Linked DNA regions of Cricetulus griseus. The protein of the gene in region 1 interacts with the protein of each later gene in a biochemical or structural test. Links are inferred from orthologs where the notes say so. Each region holds a gene or a part of one and is shown in the gene's direction. Other genes may lie near its edges. The genes, in order: Plcg1 and Gab1.

Region 1 (3,804 bases):
TTTCCTGACCTATTTGATGTGGGATGTCTTTTCATAGGGCAGCCTCCTAATTAGACCCACTCAGGGGCTGCCTTCTGTACCACTTGCTGCTTCTTGGTTCCCACTGCCTCCTGGCTGCTTCCTGACGTGCCCTTGCATGTGGCTGCCTCTCTTCTGAACGGTCCTGTGAATAAAGTACCCCAGGTTCTTGCCTCCCATCATTTTGCCCTGTAAGAAACTATTTGGACTGAGGCTCACTGTACTTACTCCTTGCCCTCCAGATACCCAGTCATCCTGTCCATCGAGGACCACTGCAGCATTGCTCAGCAGAGAAACATGGCTCAGTACTTCAAAAAGGTGCTTGGTGACACACTCCTTACCAAGCCTGTGGACATTGCTGCTGATGGACTTCCTTCGCCCAACCAGCTCAAGAGGAAGATCCTTATTAAGGTGTGGTGCAGTTGGTAGGAGGATCCCTGAGTTAAGGATGGGACTAGGTGTGGAATGATTGCTGTGACCTGGTCTGCTTCCACAGCACAAGAAACTGGCTGAGGGCAGTGCCTATGAGGAGGTGCCCACTTCTGTGATGTACTCTGAGAATGACATCAGTAACTCCATCAAGAATGGTATCCTCTACTTGGAGGACCCCGTGAATCATGTGAGGTCTAGCTGAGCCTGGACATGGTGGGGTTGGGCCGTGTGTTGGACTCTGGCTCACAGGTCTCCTGTGGTCTGTTCCAGGAATGGTATCCCCACTACTTTGTTCTGACTAGCAGCAAGATCTACTACTCTGAGGAGACCAACAGTGACCAGGGCAATGAGGATGAAGAGGAGCCTAAGGAGGTAGAACTGTTCAGGGGTGTGGGTTGAGCAGGATGAGAACTGGGTAGTCACTGGGTGTCTTTGCTATTGTCCTCCTGTCTAGGCCAGTAGCAGCACAGAGCTGCACTCCAGTGAGAAGTGGTTCCATGGGAAGCTCGGGGCTGGGCGCGATGGGCGGCACATTGCCGAGCGCCTGCTCACTGAGTACTGCATTGAGACTGGGGCTCCTGACGGCTCCTTCTTGGTTCGAGAAAGTGAGACCTTCGTGGGTGACTACACGCTGTCTTTCTGGTAACCCACATCTGCACAGTACCTGTGTTTAGTCTACTTGTACTAGACATAGTTCTTGGGGATAACTGCTTAACAGTTCAGCCTTGGCTCTAGGTTTTCCATGGAACATAATTCTTTCCTACACAGGCATGTGTGTACTTAAACATGCGTGTTTGTGTTTGATCTGTATGACCTCCTATAGGGCTGCTCACTATCCAAGCTTCTTTGGAGAATGGTCTCCCTTTTTGAAGCTTTATACCTTGCCTAGTTACGTATTCTTTGGAGCTCTGACCTGTTTTTCATGCCTGTCTCATCCTGTCTTTCCTCAGGCGGAATGGGAAAGTTCAGCACTGCCGTATCCACTCCCGGCAGGATGCTGGGACTCCTAAGTTCTTCTTGACAGATAACCTTGTCTTCGACTCCCTCTATGACCTCATCACACACTATCAGCAAGTACCGCTGCGCTGCAACGAGTTTGAGATGCGCCTTTCGGAGCCTGTCCCACAGACAAATGCCCATGAGAGCAAAGAGTGAGGAAAGGGACAGGGAGATGAGTGTGGTATGGGAAGTTCTAGTCAGGGCCTGACTCTGCTGGTTTTCAGGTGGTACCACGCAAGCCTGACCAGAGCTCAAGCTGAACATATGCTGATGCGCGTGCCCCGTGATGGGGCCTTCCTGGTACGGAAACGCAATGAGCCCAACTCATATGCCATCTCTTTCCGGTGAGCTCTGCTGGATGGGTGTGGGTTCTTGCTGGGTCTGGGTCATCTGCCATGCTGACTGTCCTTTCGTTGTGAAGGGCTGAGGGAAAGATCAAGCACTGCCGAGTACAGCAGGAAGGCCAGACTGTGATGCTGGGGAACTCTGAGTTTGACAGCCTGGTTGACCTCATCAGTTACTATGAGAAGCATCCCCTCTACCGCAAAATGAAGCTGCGCTACCCCATCAACGAGGAAGCACTAGAGAAGATTGGGACAGCTGTGAGAGGCCACAGGGGTGGGGGAGGCCATAGCAGTGTACTTAGAGGACACAGTAACTGAGGTCTCTGCCTGTGCTGAGAGAGAATCCTGGGGTGTTTTGAAGTTCACAGAAGGCCCTGGGAGCCATGGTGTATATAGCTAGAGTGAGTGAGACCTGAGCCGTGCCTGGGCGTTCAGGCAAGATCCCCTTGAACCAAGGGGTGGGTAGCAAGGTCTGGCAGCTTACAAGAGAGGTGTGCGCACATGGGCTTGATCTGGGTGTGTTGGGCAGAGGGCAGGCTAGGTACAATTGTATGGATGCCTCAGGCTCTGGAAAGAAGACCTAGGTTTTCCAAGGAAGAGGGTTTGCTGGACCTCTTCCTGACCTTGGGCTCAGCCATTGAACAACTCCAAGTCTGCGATGCTGGTGGCAGCTCAGCAGCAGGCAACTCCGGAGCAGGTGGCATTTGAGTTTTCAGGGGCCAAGGTGATAGACCTTGAGTAAGAGTGCAAAATGAGGGTGAGGCTGAGTCCCTACAGTCACCCTCACTCTCTCGGGGTTGGGGGATTCCAGTAGGCCAAGTGTCAGTGAATGGGGCAGACAGCCTATAGAAGAGGGCCAGCTATGCTTCAGAGACCAGGCAAGTGGGAGCTAGCAGCTGCTTTTATCTCAGTGCTGGGCATTAATGGATACAACGTGTCCTGTTTCTAGGAACCCGATTATGGGGCACTCTATGAGGGCCGCAATCCTGGCTTCTATGTGGAGGCAAACCCTATGCCGACTTTCAAGGTAAGTATCTGTCCTTGACTCAGGAAGCCAGGAGGAAGGAGAGGTCCCCTTCTGCATGGGGTTTGTATTTCTATATTCTGGGCCCCCTGTGGTATGGAGAAGTAATGGCTGTGGTTTCCTGAGACTGAGGAGGCTGTAGGAGACATGTGGCTCTGTTCCCTGAGAGTGACCTCCATGTCTTTCACAGACAGTAGAATGGACTAGATGGCACACTGGGCAGCCATTCCCTTCATCATGGAGATCCATTAGATAGGCTCTTTTGGTTTGCCCCTTTCTTTAATATGGCAGACTGCCCTATCCCTCTTCCCTCTCTTCAGTAGCCAGAGTGCCATTAGAGAGAAGTGAGGGTCCTCACGCTGTAGGGAGGTACAGGAGCGCATTTACTCTTATGGAGCCACCAGTCTTACTCCTAGGAACAGACCCAAGGCAGGGCTCCAAAGGTTCCATGTCAGTGGCCAGGAGGTTCCCTGGAGAAAGCCCTCTGTCTTCCTAACTTGGTTGTCCTAAAACTTCCATAGGACAGCATGCAGAACTGTGTCTAGCAATACTTGCTAACAGCGATCCCTCCCACTGGTATAAGCCCAGGCACTGGGTGAAGTGATGGGGAGAGCCCGCCCCTCTGCTCTACTCCACACAATCCCATCTTCTCACCTCTGCAGTGTGTAGTAAAAGCCCTGTTTGACTACAAGGCCCAGAGAGAGGATGAGCTGACCTTTACCAAGAGTGCCATCATACAGAATGTGGAAAAGCAAGATGGTGGCTGGTGAGCCAGGCCCTCCAGGCTGGAGAGTCTGTGGTGTGGTGGGATGGGAGTCCAGGAACTTCGTGGAGCTAGCACTGAGAATACTGTGACAGTATGCTTCGATAGAATCTGTCTCATGTTCAGTAGTAGTGTCTGACTTCTATGTGGGAACCCCCAAAAAGATCCTGTGGGAGTTTGGGGTCATTGCTAGAGTCAGTACCTTGTGGTTCCCACAGGTGGCG
Region 2 (4,546 bases), on another chromosome or scaffold:
AGGTGGTGTATAGGTAAGAATGTAAACTTTTTCCATAATAATGTGTAATATATGGGGGCATATCTCATGGGCTCAAACATAAATCTAAGGCAATACTTTTTATTTTTTATGTGTATAGATATTTTGTTAAAGAGGTAATTTGGTACATTATTTTGACTGTCTCCCGAGAACTGGGATTACAGATGTAAGTTGCCAAACAGTTAAAAATTTTGTATATAAGAATGGAATAACTGATACTTATTTGAAAGAAAAAGCTGTAATTGAAATTCTCAACGTTAAGTCATACAAGATAGATTCCACTTTTCTTTTCCATCTGAAAGCACTTTGTGGCAAGAATGGAGGGTGCTGTCCCTTTTTATATATTCAGGGACTTCTGTCTCATTACTAACGCAGCACTTCTGCCTCCTCCTGCCTCAGTTCCTCCCTCTGTTCCATCTTTCTCCGACCCCCCCCCCCTTCAGGTCGGAGACTGCAGGTGTGCCACCATGCCAGGCTCTCGGCACTTTTCCCTCTCTCCAAACTACAACATTGCAAACTCAGAACTCCTGTTTTTTTTGTTTGTTTGTTTTGGTTTTTCGAGACAGGGCTTCTCTGTATTGCTTTGGAGCCTGTCCTGGAACTCACTCTGTGGATCAGGCTGGCTTCCAACTCACTGAGATTCATCTGCCTCAGCCTCCTGCTTCCTGGGATTAAAGGCATGCACCACCACCTCCGGGCTAGAACTGTTTATTAGGAGAGTCCCAAGTATTATATACTTTTCAGAAATGCTGGTTTATCAATTCATATTTTCACACAGTCCTCTGTTTTTTGAGACTGGATCTCTCTTTGTAGTCCTGGTTATCCTAGAACTCACTTTGTAGACTAGGCTGGCCTGGAACTCAGAGAGATCCGCCTGCCTCTGCCTCCCGAGTGCTGAGATTAAAGGCATGCGCCACCACACCATGCTCTGCAGCACTTATATCTGATTATCTATATTACCTTTTAAAATTTGTTCCAAGGCTTTGTTCCAAATAACACGCATAAATAAGAGCTCTACCACAGGACTGTGTCAAACTCGTCCCAGGTATAATAAGTAAAACACACAGAAGGCAAATAGAACTATGGCATCCAGTACGATTCTGTTTCCTGTCCAACGTCCTAGGGCAGGTTTTAAGCAAATACAAAGCCAACTGAAAGAAACAACCCACGAATGAAGGTAGTGTGAGACTTTATTGTGTCTCAGAACTACATGCTGCTGAACGCTTTGTTGAGGCTAAGGAATCGCAATGGGCAGAACGGCTCCTGGGTCAGGCCCTAGGCGTCCTGGAAGTCCCTCTCCGTCTCCCGGTGCACAGCAGGGCGCGCTCCTGGTCCTGGGGAGGAAGCCCTTTAGCCTCGCGCGACCGGTACCTTGGCTGGGTTATTTTTTCAGGCTGTCAGGTCGAGAAAAGCCCTCGAAACTCCGGATCGCGAGGGTACAGCCCATTCCAAACTCCTAGCTGACACCAGGTAGTGTCAAGATGGCAAACTCAGATGGAGCTGGCGAGCATGCCCGGCGCTCCCGCGCTCGTGCCAAGGTGGCGCTGCGTTCCCGGAGACCGCCGCCTTGCCCAGCGCGCGGGCCCGGGGCGGCAGGGCGGCGAGGACCCCAGCGCGCCGCTGACTACAGATCCCAGGGTGCCTCTGCCATCTCGCTCCCTCCCAGCACCGGCCCCGCCTCCCCGGCCCTTGTTTTGGCTGGAAGCGCTCCGGAGGAGTTTCAGAGAAAGTCTGGGCAGAAGCTGGAGGCGACCGATCGTGGGAAGGGGAGGCGGAAAGGCAGGAGAAGGAGGGCCCACCCCGGGCCGCGCCTCCCCGAACCCGCCGCGCGCCCCCGGGTGGGGGAGGAGCGCAGGGGACGGGACCGAGGGGTCCCTTCCCGGAGCAGAGCCGCCCTGTGCCTCGTCCCTGCGCTGATCCCCGCCCTCGTCGGAGGCTGGAGCGCAGACCCACCCTCCCGCCGCGGACCCGCGACCTCCCCGACGCCAGGCGACGCCCCGCGCCTCGCCGCCGGTGCTCGCACTCCCTAAGCGGATCGGGAGCGGGACTTGCCCCTGCGTCCGCTGCCACCGGGAAGCCACACGCCTTCCCGGGGGCCCTCCTCGGAGCAGAGGGAAGGAGAAGATCGCGCCCCGCTCGCTGAAAGCGCCAGCGGGCGGAGCGGAGCGGACTCCGCGCGCGGGCATTGTGTGCGCGCGTGCAGCGTGGGGTCCGCAGCAGGGAGCGCTCGCGGGAGGTCCTGTCCCCCCCAAGGGGCGGAGCGCCAGGCGCCGAGCTCCCGACTCCGTGTCCCGGCTGAGTCCCAGCTGAGCCCGACCGCTGCCGAGGCGGCGGGACGGCGCGCCTGGCGGCCGGGAGGGTGCACTGAAAGAAGGCGGGTGAGCTCTGGTCCCCGCGGCTCCCGCTCGGGTTCTGCTTCGATCCGCGGGTCTGCGGAAGAGACTCGATCGCCAACACAGGGCGCGCGGAGCCCGGCCGCCCCGTCGAGGGAATCGGCGAATTCCTCGGGTTCGTGTGTGCCGGGAGCGCGCCCACTGTCTCCACCGACCTCTCCGGTGTCTGGCCCTCGAGCCCTCACGGCGTGCACCATGAGCGGCGGCGAAGTGGTCTGCTCGGGATGGCTCCGCAAGTCCCCCCCGGAGAAGAAGTTGAAGCGTTATGTAAGTACAGGTCAGGGCACCGCCGGCCACGGCAGCAGCAGCCTGCTCGCCGCCGAGCTCTTCCACGAATCCCGCCCTCCGCTTCCTCGATCCCTCTCTCGGCCAGCTGGCTTCGGACCGGGTGCGGTCCACTCGCACCCTGGCGTCCACTTGGCGGCCAAACTTTCTCCCTCCATGTTGCAGACCGCCTCCCCTGCAGGCCTCGCCGCCCCTTAGAGGGGCCCAGGCTCAAGCCGGCTGCATACTTTTCGTTGTTGTTAATTCCACTGAGCAAGGGTGGGGTGAAAACGGAAAGAAAGAGCCTTCTTTTATTATCTGCATCTGATTCACATGGAGCTATTTACATCTCCCGGCACCGAGGGCTAGTAGTGATCATCAGTTCTCCCTTGGGTCCGCGCCCCCTCTGCGCCTCTAGGAGGTTGAGGGAAGCGAATCGTGGACGCGAGAAGTGGATCGTATAGGCAAACTTCTCAAAACTACTCACACAAGGGAAAGTGTTGGGGCGGGGGTTGGGGGGAGTTCTTACGCGCCCTACCGTCTGCTTAGCAGGGTTCACATTTTCGCGGTTTTGCTTTGAGGGACACTGGAGTGTGGCCCGAGAACGCCGGCGGTTTGATGCGACCGGAGGGCGCTGGGGGGAGCATGGTGGCTAATGTTTGGGCTCCCCGGACGCGCTGTCAAGCCCCGCAAGAGGGGACAGCTGAAGGCAGCAGGGATTTCTGGGTGTTGTGATTCTTTTCCAGGGCACCAGAACGGCTTAAATGGTATTTGTGTAATTGACTCAAGATGCTGATTGTGTGTTAAACTGTGTTCTCTGTCAAGAAAACTGTATCTTGAAGGAATCTACACTACTGCAGTGGAAGTCTGTGTCCTACTCAGGAGTCTGGGATCTTAAATCTTACTCCAGATCGACTAATTTTACGATGTCCCCTGCCAGCGAAGAAATGACACTTTGTCCTGGCAGCTGAAGCAATTATTTTTTGAGTAAACGTGTTTTCCTAAAGCAAAACGTACAGCGTACCCCCTTAACCGGTTTTGATGGAAACTGTTTCTGGTTGAAGGGAATCTACACCAAGTACCCACCTCAAGTTAGTCAATCCGATTACTCACTGCTTGCTTGCATGAAACGGGCAATATTTATTTCACAGAGCTCACCATCGAGTTTCTGGTTTACTTTCTGCTAGAATATATTACAGACAAGCAGTTTTATTGAAAGATGTGCTTCGTTAAATTGTCGGAGGATCCCCAAAGATGCCTGTCACGTTTTCCTGGATTTCTTGGTAAAGATGGCAATTTGATTCCAAAAATTTTAGAGAGTGGTAGTGGTGTCTTCAGAATTAGTTGTAAAGAGACTATTGTGTGAAGGAGGAGGGGTGGGGAGATGGAGATACTAGGCTTGAGACGCACTGCTTAGGGAAGATGGCGTTAGGATTCTCAGGGAAACTACAGTACAGTATATATGGCTGATAATGGCAATAGAAACTCAGCACACTCTTTCCCATTAGTTTGTGGCTCACTAGTGGTGCTGAACTCGGTCCTAGGCACCAGCCACAAGGGAAGGTAGTACAGAAGGGGAAAGCCTTGTAGGAAGAATGGTCTTAACAAAGGCCAAAATAAAATAAAAACTGGGCATGGTGGTATATGCTCCTAACACCCAGTACTTGGGAGACAGAAATGGAAGGATTAAGGCTAGCCTGGTCTACATAGCAATTCTAGGCTAACAAGGGCTGTATCTCAAAAACAAAACCACAAAAACAAAATAAAGTTTGTTACTAATACAAATATTAATAATAAATACATAGATAACAATAAGCAGAAGTGTGTGGGAGAATATATATGTGTATGATTATGTATATTTACATGTGTCA

The links.
Region 2: the proteins of Plcg1 (region 1) and Gab1 form a complex in vitro, tested with the Homo sapiens proteins (2 studies listed by BioGRID and IntAct, with this or other methods). The link is inferred for Cricetulus griseus from reciprocal best matches to the Homo sapiens genes PLCG1 and GAB1.

What each region holds. Positions count from the first base shown.
Region 1 is NC_048599.1:18,756,030-18,759,833, reverse strand, and holds part of Plcg1 (1-phosphatidylinositol 4,5-bisphosphate phosphodiesterase gamma-1), read left to right. Parts: intron 1-260; coding exon 261-429; intron 430-514; coding exon 515-637; intron 638-720; coding exon 721-822; intron 823-904; coding exon 905-1,092; intron 1,093-1,400; coding exon 1,401-1,601; intron 1,602-1,673; coding exon 1,674-1,793; intron 1,794-1,870; coding exon 1,871-2,051; intron 2,052-2,742; coding exon 2,743-2,820; intron 2,821-3,479; coding exon 3,480-3,583; intron 3,584-3,798; coding exon 3,799-3,804. UniProt on the Homo sapiens protein: Mediates the production of the second messenger molecules diacylglycerol (DAG) and inositol 1,4,5-trisphosphate (IP3). Plays an important role in the regulation of intracellular signaling cascades.
Region 2 is NC_048596.1:156,648,645-156,653,190, reverse strand, and holds the start of Gab1 (GRB2-associated-binding protein 1), read left to right. Parts: upstream 1-1,736; 5' UTR 1,737-2,606; coding exon 2,607-2,678; intron 2,679-4,546. UniProt on the Homo sapiens protein: Adapter protein that plays a role in intracellular signaling cascades triggered by activated receptor-type kinases. Plays a role in FGFR1 signaling. Probably involved in signaling by the epidermal growth factor receptor (EGFR) and the insulin receptor (INSR).